Lepisosteus oculatus: one gene and its partner. The protein of the gene in region 1 purifies or fractionates together with the protein of each later gene. This does not show direct contact. Links are inferred from orthologs where the notes say so. Each region holds a gene or a part of one and is shown on either strand. Other genes may lie near its edges.

Region 1 (7,243 bases):
TCCCTTACAAAAGGAGGACTTGTCAGCTGCCCAAGCTGTTTCCAGGAACAAACATTCTTTTATGCAACATTAAATTAGTTTTTTTTTCCCCACAGAGCTTTTCACTAAATCATACATTTGTATGCTCGCAATATAAATGCTCTGCTTCAGGAACTTAAACAAGCTAAATCCTTATCCAGTCAAAGCTATTATCATCTGGCCTACCTTTAAATGTGACAGGATGATTTAATGCACACATGAGCCTTGTATTTGTGTCCAGCTTGTACAGTATGTCATCCAGGAGGTTTGATGGGAGATGTAGTCTTAGAATTTCCTTTTGCTGTTCCTTCAATAACCAGAACTCTCCTTTTTTCTTTCATTATTCAGGGAGGCGACAATGAAGTCCACAATATGTAGGGTCTTAGAGAAAAGCTATACAGTATATGATGTTTCATCCTATTGTGCCATCTTTAAGATTAACAACAATTAAAAAATCCAGGACTTCAGAAGAATGCACTTCTGATGGGGTTTTGTTAATGTGCATCTGGAGGAGGTCACCATACACGTTGCACATTCTGAACAATTTTGTACATTTTGAACCAGGTAGCTGATATTAATCACTGAGCATTATCCAAGGACACCCAGAAATGTCAATCTTCATTTATTTCTGCAGCTTTGTATCTGGTTTTCCATTGGAATGTGCTGCTTTAAACATCTTTTGTGCTGGCACTGTCTTAAGCTGGTAATGGAGAGGAGAATCTGAACTCTTTTGTTCTACGAATTGAAAGAGCCTTTGTTTTGTTTTGTCATGCTTTTTTGTCAAATTCTGATGTGCTGTTTAGATGCTGCACAGAAGACACAGCATCTTCCCCTTCTGAAAGATTAAAAAAATCCCTTAGCATCTGTAAAATCAATTTATTTTGCACACAGTTATGTGCTAACAATTTTCTTTAACTCATTATCAAATCTTCGTAGTTATTCCACATCAATTGGTACCTTAAACTTCATATTTACTGTACATGGGGGAAAGTATTTCTGATATGAATGTGTTGCTAGTCAATGGCATTTAAAACAAAAGCTAAAAATGTCAAACAAACCTGATATAAGGTTGTTTTAAATGAGGGGGGAGGAGTAGGCATCAGGTGGAAGATTCCACATCCTTTATTTTTCCTTCAAGACTTTAATAATAATCAATTTGGCTGATAATGTCATTCAAAGCAAATTGCATTTGTACCCACCTGTACAGCAGGAATTGTTGTTTCCTGGTGAAATACAGGTCAATAATCTTGTTCAAGAATAAATTAGTTCTGCTCTACCCAGGATTTTAACCCCAGACTTTCCCTTTCTGAATCCAGAGCCCCAAATCAGAGGAGATCCTTACAGTGGTGTCCCATTACTGACCTCTTTAATACTGCAAAGGCTAAATCATTATTGTGACACCTCTCTGCTTTAACCTGCCAATCGCAGCACTTTCTGTTTGCAGAAGAATGTCTGTACAGATGTTAGACAACTTGATGGAATGCCAGCAACTGGGAGGGCAGTACCAAACTGCGATAAAGATATCTCAGTACGGGGTGGAAACAATGGACTCCATTCTTCCAAGTGGCACAGCTCAAAGCACTACAGGTCTCGCTAATATGTGCAGTTATGCCTCAATTCAAAACTTTGGTGATTCACAGTCACATTTCTTCACCCCAGGAAGTTTTACAATCCCACATACCAGTTTTTATGGGGCAATAATTTCTTCATAAATACATATTTTCCCATATACTTTTTTCTGGTCTTTTATTAATAATAATAATTCCTTACACTTAGTGCTTTTCTGGACACTAAGAGAGCTTTACAGGTAATGGGGAATCCCACTACCACCACCAGTGTGCAGCCCCACCTTGATGATGCTCCAGTCCTCTCCCCACCCTAGCTCTCAGTGGGGAGGAGAGCAGATTGATGAAGCCAGTTCAGAGATGGGGATTATTATTAGGAGGCCTTTATTGGTAAATGCCAATGGGAAATTTGGTCAGGACGCCAGGGTAACACCCCTACTGTTTTCGAAAAATGCCCTGGGATTTCTAATAATCACAGAGAGTCAGGACCTTGGTTTTGTTTCTCATCCGAAGGATGGTGACTTTCTGCAGAATATTGTGCCCCGTCACTACACTGGGACATTACACGCAGACCGCAGGATGAGAGCCTTAGTTTTTCCCAGGGGTCTCCCATCTAGGTACTAGGCGCACACCTGCTTGCCTTTTGTGGGTTATCAGTTGTGATTTACAGGGTGATATGGCTGCTAGCCATATTTTTGTATATACAATACAAATATTTGTAAAGTATAGTTTTGTGTGGTTCATAGGTTATTGGTAAACATATCCCTTCATTCTCCTTCCTAAGATTATCACCCAACAATACCATAATCCAATGAGGGCTGTATTCTTTGTCTTGTGAATTGAATGTCTTGTGTAACCAACTGGAAAATACAATATATACTGATGGAAAAAAGAAATGCACCACCTCCTCCTCCACACTCTGGCCCTCCCATCTACGTGGAACAGGCTGAAGAGCGACTCATCCATGAAGAGGACCTGATGCCACTGCTGACAAGTCCATCGCAGCCTCTGTCTGGCCCAAGCCAGTCAGATGCGACGCCTAGGAGGTGTGAGCAGAGGGCCTCTGACAGGTCGCCTTGCTCCAAGACCAGGAGCATGGAGCCTTACTGTCCTGTCACTGATGCGGGCATTGTGTCTGCCAGTAGTTTCAGAAGCAGTATGGGTGGCAGATCTGAAACGATCTCTCAGATGGACCAGTCTGATTTGTCGGTCCTGCTCTGGTGTGGTCACTCGAGGGCGACCGGATCTTGGACAGTCATCTGTCCTCCAGGTCACCTGAGACCTTCCCTGCAGTTGGGACACAGTGGAGCAGCTTACTCCATAGTGTCTGGCAATGGTGACACATGACATGCCAGCCTGCAGCATGCCAATGTCCCTCTCCCTTGCTTCTGGTGACATTCGAGGCATTATGGAATGCACAGAAAACTGACTAAGTGTGGCCTTTTTCTTGTAGTGACCTAAGCTTTGAATCAAGGCCTTTTTAAAAGGTGACCTGATCAGGCATTGATCCACCTGGCCCTCGTTGGGTAAAAGTGCACCTAACGAGCTTTCATGTGATTGGCAATTTGCAATGCCTCACTGCAAAAGCTGTATTGCTGGTCAGAAGGCTTAAAACAAATTGACAACTTTTTGTGAAAGTACATACTATAGTATTCTCATTCCAGAAAATATTATGTTTCTTTTTTCCATCACTATATATAATTTAGAAAACAAAACGGGTTAATTGTTTAATTATATCCATCAGATTGGAACAAAAGAAGACAAGTTCACCAGAACCTGACTTTGAGAACCCTGCCTTAAAGAAAAGTTTAGGTACAGTATACAGTATAATCATGTCTTGCGAAAAGGAAGATAAACATTATTATTGTATCACTATAATTCTTCTAAGTAAAGGCCATTTTGGAAGGGACAATTCAAGACCAATTTCATCACATGGAGTACAAATCACTCTAAGAAATCTCCCCTTATTCTCTGCTTCAGCAGTAAGGCAGTACTCGAGACCAGACATGAAAAACTGCTTTCAGCTAAACAGCCACAGTACCGATCTGTGAAATCCTTCTTAGTGACCCCTAAAAAGCTCTTAACTACGTTTTCCGTCCTTTAAATTGTATCTTTACGCAGAGTTCCTCTGGTCGTAATATATTTTCGGACAGATTAACCGTGGAGTAATATTCAAACACCGTAAAGTCCATCTTTGCTTTAGTAAATGACAATCGAGCCGCATACTGTACAGATTTTACAACTATGCCTTGTCATCCCCAGTTTTGCGGAAAGATACAGTAAATGTACAGGAGACATTATTAAAGTATTCTTACAAGAGCGGAAAAGGGGGTTATGAGTTTAGGAAAAGCTCAGGCTGAACAGATGTAGTCCTTCAACACTGTCAAGACACTGAAGAACCGTTCGTCACAGAGAAAACAGTGGGCAGAACAGAAAAATAAAAGAACTTCTAACTCCTTTTTGTTCTTTGTTTTGTTTATTTCGAGAGAAATGCAATTAAAAGAAGAGGAGATAAAACGTGGGAGGCAAAAAAAAACTCGCATCGACAGCTCATTGGTCTGAGTCGAAATTCAGCTGCCTGGAGCACGCAGCGTGAGCGAGCGACGGACTAGAAAAAGCAAAACCGCAAAGAAGTTTTCTGCGCTCGAAACAAACGCTCGGCGAACTGTGTGCGTCCTGCTCTTTATGTGAAAGTTACCGGTGGAAACATCCTTAAAAATGCCAGTGGCAGGCGGAGCTAAATGCATCAAATATTTGCTGTTTGTCTTCAATTTCATTTTCTGGGTAAGTTGCCGGTTTGCTGATCTTTGGATGGAATGGAGTTAAGTTTTTCGGACTGTCCGCTCAGACAGGTCATCATACTGTAGATCTGATGGACTGGGGACGATAAGAAGCTCGCTGTTGGCACACATGGCTCTTTCTGTGTTTAGAGGAAAAACAGCAACCGCATACAAGAAGTGAGATCTGAGAGTCGCGAAAAAGATTCACACCGAATTTAGGAAAGCATCTGTGCTTATTTTGATATAGCGCTGTATTATTTTGTGTGTCTGTAAGTGAAGAGGCGTAACTTTTAAATACCTTACTGGGGACGCATAAAATGTACGCCACTGAAACTCTCATATTTAAATCGTCATTTTCCCGGAGATAGTTTTTGAACGGACGCAGTTCTTTTGTTGAAGTGAAAATGCTACAGTAAATCAGGCGGCTCCGTTATCTGGGATTAGGAGCTTGTCGCCTTCCTGTCATTTTGATCAGTAATGTGCGACACTGTGGGTTTTTTTTTAATTCCTGTTTGGCACAGAATAGTGATCGTGTGCAGTGTTCATTTCAGTGTGAATTTTTACCGTCGATTTGCAGATAGATACTGTACATCGGAGGAGGCCGAAAAGATGGGGAAATGGTGAAGTTCTGTAAAGCGTATTTTCATTAATTCGAAGGTGTTGGATTAGCATATCTCTGTAGCCATCATATCCTCTTTATTTCGTGCAGTAGTTAGTCTTATTTATAAGGCGAAATCCCTTCTCCCATTGAATGCATTTACAATACACTGTTTATCAGATAATAAAGAAACAAGTCCAGACGCCTGCTATACGATTGCTTTTAATCTGTAGGACTATAAATAGAAATTGCTAATCCCTTGAACAAATTAAGATTACAAGGCCTTCATTACTGTTGGGTGTTTCCTGTAGACAGCCATACATCTGTAGTTAAGGAGTTAAATGTGTGGTTTGACAGTGATCAAAGGCAAACGTCTAAATTCCTTTTTTCTCTGTCCAATATTTAAGCATATTGTAATACTAAAAAAAACGTGTTTAATCATCAACAACGCCATCGTTTGTTTGTTTGTTTTTTGGTTTGAATTAATCAGAGCTGCCAAAAAGGTAAAATATCAACTTCCAACAGTCAACAACAAAATCTTCAGTCTACACATTTCTCCTGTTCCTGTTAAGACCCGTGACATGACCTTTCATAGACAGATTACTCCGAGTGCAAAAGATTAAAAAAACCGATGTGGTACTGTTTGCATTGAGATCTTTCAAGTTTCGAAACTGGCTTCTCTGTATGATTTATTACAAAGAAAACCAGACACAATACTGCTGTTTTTTTTTTTGTTACAACCTAAATTGCATTAAAAATGAGGTGTATTTATTAATAGCTTCCAAGACATGAATGATCATTCGTAATCCTGATCCAGTTTATTACTATAGAGCTGTTTATTACTTGGAGAGATTAAGCACTTTACCACAATTGTGTGTATAATTCAGCTTTGTTTTGCTTTTTTAAGTGTTTTCAGATATTGAAAGTTTAGAAAGGTTTCGAAATGAGCCCCAAGATATCATACTTGGTTTCAAAACATCCTTCACATAGACATCTAGAATTTGCACTGTTGGGTTCTTGCAAGAAATAAAAAACTGTTTTTTTCTTACTTGTTTACATCATTGTTTGGTCATCTACCGAGAATTGTTTGGACAGCTCTAGTGGAACCAAAAAAAAAAAACAGACAGAGCAGTTCTATTTGCAAGGTTTCTTTTGCCGATAATACACTGTGACCACAACCAAGTAAAGAGTGAAGAAAACACTGTTAAAATCTAATCAACCAAACAGTTAAATTACTCAATAAAAATAATAATTGAAGTAAACTATGTAACAGAACATTACCACAAAAAGACGATCTTGCCAACTAACCAGGAATGGTGCCTTTTGGTTTTTTACCATCCCATATTTCCTGTATATTACCATATATTCCTATGAAACTTCACCTGGATTTCTGGGCCCACTAAGTTAAAAGAGGACTGTTTCTGTTCAATCGATTTTTTGCACCTGGGTGTCCTTCTGCGTGGAGTTTGCATGTTCTTCCTGTGTTCTTGTGGGTTTTCTCCGGGTGCTCCGGTTTCTTCCCACAGTCCAAAGACATGCTGGTAGATTAATCGTGTTCTTGAAAAACTGGCCCTGGTATGTCTGGGTGTGTCTTGCGATGGACTGGCATCCCAACCACCCCAGTAACCTTCTAACGGACAACATGGGTGAGAAAACGGATGGGATGGTTTCCTTCCGATTTATACGATGGAATAAGTAAAAAATATGCCCCGTGCTGTAGAAGGAACCGCAGACCATCTGCTAGTTGCTCATCCCTCGGTTTTGCAAATCTAATTTTGCGTAAAGAGACTTATGAATCAAAGCACGAGATGCGGGAATCTCCCTTCGGCGGTTTGCTTAGTGTTGGAACTCACAGTGCACATACAGTGGGAAAAGGTCAAGGTTGTTGTGCAAGTTGAGTTCATTTCCTTTTTGGTGCCTTTTTAGTGCCTTTCAGGACTGGTCTCAGTGTTGCATCATATGGTGTCATGGGCTCCATTACTTAAGTGTTGTCCTTGCAATCGTGGCTGATTAGCCTTCTTCTAAAGAAGCTAGTGTTGGAATGAAGCAATGTACAGTTACTCACCAAGGGAAGTTGAGTGTTTGCTGGGCCAATCATGAAATCTCCAGATCAGATGCTCTCGGCTGGGCTACATAGAGTACAAACAGCATTGTTAAAAAGTGTACAAATGAGCACGCAAAAGGTTCTGCACGTGCCGTTTGAAGTCGGGCCGATTACGAAGCAGCACTGTGGCGTGCTTTGCGAGATGGAAAAGTAAAGCACGTGGGCAGAGGATCGAAAT
Region 2 (7,712 bases), on another chromosome or scaffold:
TAGTCCCCTAAATCCTTCTTTCTAATCAAAAGATAAACATAAGAAATGTCTGCTTTCTTCACTGTGTTAAAGGCACTATGAAAAGTCTGTCTCACGACAACCAATGCCCTTCAAGATATTGTGTCAAAAATGGTAAAACAGAAGACTGCCTTTTAATAGTTTCATTTAAAGAAGTCAGCCGAAAAAATATATAATAAACATTAAAGAGGAAATAAATTCAATCTTTCACTCAAACAGTAAACAAGGCGGACTAGGATATGACTAAATATCAGTCTGGACGCAGAGGACAAAAAATGTATTGCGGAAAATGACTGTTCCTACAGCATATGAATTATTTATGTTCTCCTGAGAAAGATAACCACATGGCGACAATATTTATATTCGGAAATAGCACTGCAGATACTTGATAAATGCTTGTAGCTCGCAGTTCTGCTAATCATTTACAGATGCGCCTTACTGCAACATATAGAGTAACACACCCTTGAGCTATGCTGTACTTTGGAAATGAATAAGCAAGGGGGCACACCTAGCCTGGCACAGTTTCATGCACAGTGGCTGCAACCACAAGCATCCGGCGCCCAAATATGTTAGCCCTGAGGTGATCACCGGGTACTCTCGTTAACCAACCAACTGCTGGGAAAAAGACATCAATACCTTAGCCACGGTGCGGCAGTTTATCCTGTCGGGAATTACACCGACAGTGTACAGTGCTTATGTATATAATTTAAACAACGACAGAAACAACACAATTTAACCTGTGAGAAAGGCCATGTTGCAGCATAAGACAACAAGGCTTGTGAGAGTCTAAAAAAAGCTACCCTGTCGGGCTTTTAAAGCCAATATCAAGAACCCTCACATAAATTAGCTACTCACTACCAAACAAGCAAGAGGGGCCAAATGGCTTCCAGATTACAAAACAAATTATGGTCAGGAGTGAGAAGATCTTCGGCCTACTACCTAAATGATTACCAGGTGTTTCTATGTGCCATGATAAATTACATATTATAACACCTAATTAAATACCGAGTTCAGAAACATGAAAAAAGTGTCATATTTAAAAACAAGAGAGCCCATTTTTGAAGCGTATATACAATGGACATTACACCTCTAAGGCCAAAGACCCAGGCAGTCATTGTTCCAAAGTTTTTTTACAGTAAACCAAAATAACTAAAGTATCTTTGGTTTATGTGTATTCTGCACATCTGATAAGGCAAAGATCATTCCACCTCAACTTCAGGAAGACAAAGCTTAACTGAGTGGTATGGAGAAAGTGAAAATTGACCACATGGTCAGACTTCTATGGAGCAAAACCGGTGCTACATACAGCAAGACTACAGTAAGAAGTTTAGAGCTACTGAAACCCCTGATCCTGAGACCCCAGCGATAAGGAAGTGGTCTAACTAAGCCGCATGTCTTCCTAACCACCGCGTTTGTTTTCGCAATGAGGTCAGTCTGCCGAAATAAAAAAGGTGAGATCTAACCACTTTTACGGCGAGCGTTTCTACTTTTTTTAAGGCAGAAAATTCCGAGCGTCGAGTTAAACGTGGGATACAAAAATCCAGCCTCTCCGTCTAACGCTCCCTTAAAATTAAAAACCGAAAATGCCACGTTCGAGTATCCTCAAACGGGTACGTTCCCGAGAGTGTTTTTCCCCCCCGGAACAGTCAGCTCGCCTTATTTGTCAGTGCTTTAAGTGCCAAGAATAACTCGAGAGCCTGCTCCTTGGGCCGTCCGGACGCGCCATCTCCTTTGTGCTCTCCCAGCCGCCTGGCATCGCCTAAATAAGAGGTTTGAAAAAATAGCCGCAGAGCTAAGCTCAAACCTCAATCGGAGCACTGTTGCTGGCTAACGAGGCACTCCCTAAATTAGCTGTAGCCAGAGGCTATTACTTTCAGAAAAAACGCGTAAAAACGTAGTAAAACGCTGCATTTCAACCATTTACTAATTCGAGATGTATTCGCAAAAAGAGGGGGAAACAAGCAACGCCTGTAAAAGGACATTTCACAAGTTTGAGGGGAAAAAAAGAAAACCCTGTCCATAGGGGCAAATGTAAAACACACATCCCAGTTTCCCTCTGGAAACTTATTACTGCAGGGCAGGTCAAGATCTTTCATTCGTATACTTCGCGGAAAACACTTGATGGGGTTTACAAACATGAAGTGAATCGAGGCGAGAAGCCAGTCTGTCGTCTTTTTTTTTTTTTTGTGGCGTTATCCGGGGATCGGCTCCCGAAGAAAGACTTGGTCTCTCCCTGCTGTTCTCCGCCGGGAATGCGGGCCCGGGCCAGCGCCTCCCCGATACCGGATAGCGGATGTACTCACCCCATACAGACAGTCGATACAACACAGGGGGGAAAGCTGCAATATTGCACTAACGACACAGTTTTATCCCACAATACTTTTAACCACCGTAGAATCGGCGTTTACGGCTCTTCCACCCGCCCACCCCCACCGCAAAATATACAAATCACATTCCAGGACTTCAGGGCAAGAAGATTTGTGCAGACATGCGCCCGAGTTCAACACAAAGCCCCGCATAAAACCCACCATGACATTTTCATTCACACGGCAAATATGTATATAACACACCAGGTATGCATCACTGGCTTACGAGTTTACAAGACGAAAACTCATATCCATACAAGCACTTTAAGCAGACATTGACACCTCCTTACCTTAAAACGCATTGAACGAACCTAAACCATTCGTTTTTAATGCAGCATATGTGGAATCGATGGTCCTTCGCACTTCTTTCAAAAATATCCAGCTGATCTCTCCCCTTTACTACAAAAAAACAAGCTTTAGTTCTCTACTTTTCTCAAACAAACAAAAAATGTGTCCCCTTTGTCTTCTTATTCCATTTTACACCCTTCAGACGAAAAGACTCTTTACCTACGCCCAACAACACGATCTGGTTATTAAGAAAACTGTATTTTTTAAAAAAGTTACAAAATCCCCACACGATGAAAAATGACCTTAAAGCCGTGCTAACCCCCTCCCACGATTACAAGAAAGAGAGGAGGCCATCCTCTGTATTTCGACCCGCCCCCACAGGAAATACCGAACACGTCATCGTTGGACAAGCTCGACCTGTACGCATTCGCTATGAGCTCCGCTAGGTTTGTCCTTGGGAAAACTCGGAAATCTGGGTACGCGCATGTAACAGCCAAAATTCTGCATTTCATTGTAGCTGTAAATGCGCATAACCTCAGTTCAGTTGCTCTTACATCATTATGGTATGATTCTGATTGAAAATATGAAGTGAAAATAATAGATTCACTATCCGGTTACCGTATAAATTGCTGTGCCTAGTGTTGTATCTGTTATTGTATTATGTTAACTTCTTTATTTAATCACTCTGCATTGGGTATTTTTTGCGATTTTTCTTGGTCCTCCAAACCAATAAAGCAACAAATAAAAGATAAAGCAACAGTGAGAGTGATCAATCGGAATATGACACACCATGCTGTATACCAATCTTGCACTTCTTAATATTCTTGGAAATATAGGTTTTGTTGTAATTCAAAGCAAACACGTTTTCTAATAAGAACTCCTTACTTTTGTATGTGTTTTTTCCCAAAAGAGTATGTTTAATCAATTTCATCAATTTTCCTATGGGATTAATAAAGTATTATCTATGTTTACATATTTGAGGGCAACAGTTTAATCTACCACTGCGAGGCCAGCAGGGGGCGCTCACCCTGCAGTCCATATGGGTCCTAATGCCCCAGTATAGTGACGGGGACACTATACTGTAAATAAGCGCCGTCTTTCGGTTGAGATGTAAAACCGAGGTCCTTACTCTCTGTGGTCATTAAAAATCCCAGGGTGTTTCTCGAGAAGAGTAGGGGTGTAACCCCGGCGTCCTGGCCAAATTCCCCATGTCTCCTAATAATCCCCCTCTATGAATTGGCTACATTACTTTGTTCTCCTCCCCCCTCTGACGGCAGGCAGAGCGACGCGCCGGTTGGAGTATTCTCGGTCGCATTTAACGGCAACGTCAGCTCAAAGATTAGGTTCAAACCACCAAATGGAGACAGGGGTGCCAACAAGCGGACCCTGCTGATGCGGGATTAACGCTAGGATGAGAGAGGAGAGTTTCATCTACCACTGCAGTGCAGTGCTCATGTTGACTCATGGCAGCCATTATGTGTTAGCAGTCCCACTACACAGCTGATGAAGAAGTCTCACTCAGTGTGCCATTTGATCTTTAATGATCAAGAAGTCAGGAGCTCAGTTTAACATCTCTCCCTAAGGATGATACTTCCTTCAGCACAGTGGCCACACAGAAGCATTGGATAGGAAATTCTGTTGCTCAAGGAACAGAACTGCCCACCGGGCTATGAGTGTCCTTTTGTTCCCTAGAGGTCGTTTTCCATCCTAATACTGAGCAAACCCAACCCTGCTTCGCTTTTGAAATCTTATAAGATCATGTTAGCAAGCAGCAATTCTTCCATAAAGAGAAAAAAAAGACTCCAAAACCATATTCATTTATTCTGGTTACAATATGTTTTACTCGTACTCTCGTAAGTCAAAACAGTGTCACAAATTGTGATACGTTTTACCTTTTGCAGTGCTTTGTTGTGTTTCTTTTCTTCTCTTTTCAGCGTGGAATAAACCTTTACTTGTTCCTTTACTGTGTATGTCAGTGTGTTTCTTATTTATTCACCGGGAAAAGAACCCAAGACATGAACTTTAGAACATCTATATTGTAGTGTATACTCTATACCCAGCATAGTACAATAGATTTCTCCATTCATACTGTATACTCTTGGAACTAAGAAGTGTAAACATTAAGGCATTTTGTTTTTCCATTTTGACCTACTTGTATAACAGTTCTCATTCTAGAAATGTTGTGATTCTTTATCTTAAGTTTCAATTGCAATTCATATCTTAAAAATCCCTCTTCACTGTTTCCTTTAAAATGAGATATTTGATGTTGATATCTTTGTTCTTCCTACTTCTGCCTCGCCCATAATTGTTTATATAGCAACCTTTTTTTTTAGTCTGGTGAAAATTGTCCATTCTCCAGAATGCAAAAGACTAACTTACAAGATGTTGCTTTCTTAGAAACCCTTTCTTATGAAGCGCAACAGCAATAATGGATAGAAACTGAGCTTATGGTATCATCCATTTGTAATTTCAGAAGGTTGTCGAAAACGATCATAAAAGATAAATTCTTAAATTGCATATGACAAAGATTCAAGGTAATGCATGTACTTTGAGTAAGAACTGGTGAATAGGCAGGAAACAGAGATTAGAGCTAATTGGTAAATGCTCCAATTGGAGTACCTCAGGGATCAGTATTTGGAGCCCCAGTTTTCCTCAATTATGTCAGTAATCTCAATTCAGTTCTAGTTAGTGAACTAATTCAGACAAAACACAATGGTTCATCTTCATGTTTCGCCTTCTTCATGTGTGAAGGAGAAGGCTGGAGAAGGCTCAACTGCTGAAATGTTGTGTTTCTTCTTTCTACTCATCAGTGTGGACTAATCTTTTATTTGTTCTGCACATACTTTTGAATTGCTGTTCTCAGTCTCATTCCTCTGTTCCTCCCCTAAAACCAAATTCTTTGTGCTTTTGTAATACAGTACAGATGTATTTCCTAACACTTTTACTTCAAGCTCTCAGGACATCATAGATGCCCCCCTTGTTAGTATGAAGCATGCTAGCATGGAATTATCTTCAAGCAAATAACATTTTCTTGTGTGAACACTTTAATAGTGATATAATTTGGGTGGAAATCAATTGCATGCTTCAAAACACATTATGATCAGTTTGACCCTTCTAGACTACTGTATATTGTCTCCATTGCTTATTTACAACTGGCACAAAGTCAGTGTGACAGGAGTTGCATGTCATCACAAATGAATCCCTTTCTTCTCATTACAAACACAACTTCACATGTTGCAAAACATTAAAAAGTAATCAGTAGCAACAAACCAGAACTTTTCTGGAATTTAATGCTGATGATAATGATGATTCCACATCTGGTTATGTCATTTTTGTAATATTACATGTGGTTTACATTTTATTTTTGTCTTCTGTGGTTCATTTGTTGCCCAGGTTAACTGTTCTTTGACTACCTGGGCTGTGTTTATTTACCTTACCCTAATTCTGTCAAATTCTAACTGTGCTGTCAGATAAAGCAGCTGCAGTACAGCTGGATTCCATTGGTGTGGTCCGATGAAGTACTTCTAGCTGCTATCTGAATTCTATTAGTATAGTCTGATGAGACAGCTTTAGCTCCCACCTGAATTCTACTAGTGAAGGTTGAAGAAGCTTTTATAAGATTATTATAGTTTATTGCTCTGAGCAGTTTTTGGATAGTACCTTGTTTTCTCTTGACATTGGAGACACATTGGCATTTCACAATATTACACATGTATAAAACATACCTCGGAAAAATACGAATTTCAGATGCTGGCTCTGTAGCTTACTCAAATTGTGCAGTACAGATAATTAAGAGTAGAGAACTATATACTGATGGAAAAAAGAAATGCAACACCTCCTCCTCTACACTCTGGCCCTCCCGTCTGCGTGGAACAGACTGAAGAGTGGCTCATCCATGAAGAGGACCTGATGCCGCTGCTGACAAGTCCGTTGCAGCCTCTGTCTGGCCCAAGCCAGTCGGGTGTGATGTCTAGGAGGTGTGAGCGGAGGGCCTCTGACAGGTTGCCTTGATCTAAGCAGCATGGAGCCTCACTGCCCTGTCATTGATGCGGGCATTGTGTCTGCCGGCAGTTTCAGCAGCAGTACGGTTTGCAGATCTGAAACAATCTCTCAGATGGACCAGTCTGATGTATCGGTCCTGCTCTGGCGTGGTCACTCGAGGGCGACCAGGTCTTGGACTGTCATCTGTCCTCCTGGTCTGCTGAAACCTTCTCTGCAGTCGGGACACAGTGGAGCGGCTTACTCCATGGTGTCTGGCAACGCTGGCACATGACATGCCTGCCTGCAGCATGCCAATGGCCCTCTCCCTTGCTTCTGGTGACATTCGAGGCTTTATTGAATGCACAGAAAACTGACTAAGTGTGGCCTTTTTCTTGCAGTGACCTAAGCTTTGAATTAATGCCTTTTTCAAGGTGACCTGATCAGGCATTGTTCCACGTGGACCTCGTTGGGTAAAAATACTCCTAACGAGCTTTTGTGTGATTGGCAAGTTGCAACGCCTCACTGCACAAGCTGTATTGCTGGTCAGAGGGCTTAAAACAAATTGACACCTTTTTGTGAAAGTACATAAACTATAACTTTAGTATTCTCATTCCACAAAATGTTGCGTTTCTTTTTTCCATCAATATATATTATTTTGTTCATCCAAGCACATGTGATACTGTTACGTTTCCACTTAATTTAACCATGAATGGCATTTTCTGACCCTTTTTATAGTGAAGAGGTAAAATACATAGATTTCTCTATGTAGAGACTGAGTAATATTAACACCAAATGTTAGTACACAACCTTTTGAAATAAGAAAATAAGAATTACAGCTCCGCTCAAGTTGCAGAATGAGTAGAATAGATGTTCAACAAGGTAACATGATTGAAGGGAAAGATAAATAACAGACATACAGTAATTAGGGCTTTAGAACTCACAGTAGGACATGAAAGATGTTTTTGTAGCTGACATCAAGCAATAGCTAGATTTATATTTCAGTGTCTATTTCAGTGTAGACGATGCAGGAATCGCAGGTGCAGAGCAAAGAGATGTGGT

The links. The genes of interacting proteins can lie anywhere in the genome.
Region 2: the proteins of cd9b (region 1) and integrin beta-1 purify together in Homo sapiens (co-immunoprecipitation; 5 studies listed by BioGRID and IntAct, with this or other methods). This does not show direct contact. The link is inferred for Lepisosteus oculatus from reciprocal best matches to the Homo sapiens genes CD9 and ITGB1.

Annotation. Positions count from the first base shown.
Region 1 is NC_090702.1:4,148,060-4,155,302, forward strand, and holds the start of cd9b (CD9 antigen), read left to right. Parts: upstream 1-4,166; 5' UTR 4,167-4,301; coding exon 4,302-4,367; intron 4,368-7,243. UniProt on the Homo sapiens protein: Integral membrane protein associated with integrins, which regulates different processes, such as sperm-egg fusion, platelet activation and aggregation, and cell adhesion.
Region 2 is NC_090701.1:39,147,075-39,154,786, reverse strand, and holds the start of integrin beta-1, read right to left. Parts: upstream 3,043-7,712; 5' UTR 2,687-3,042; coding exon 2,675-2,686; intron 2,417-2,674; exon of another isoform or gene 2,322-2,416; intron 1-2,321.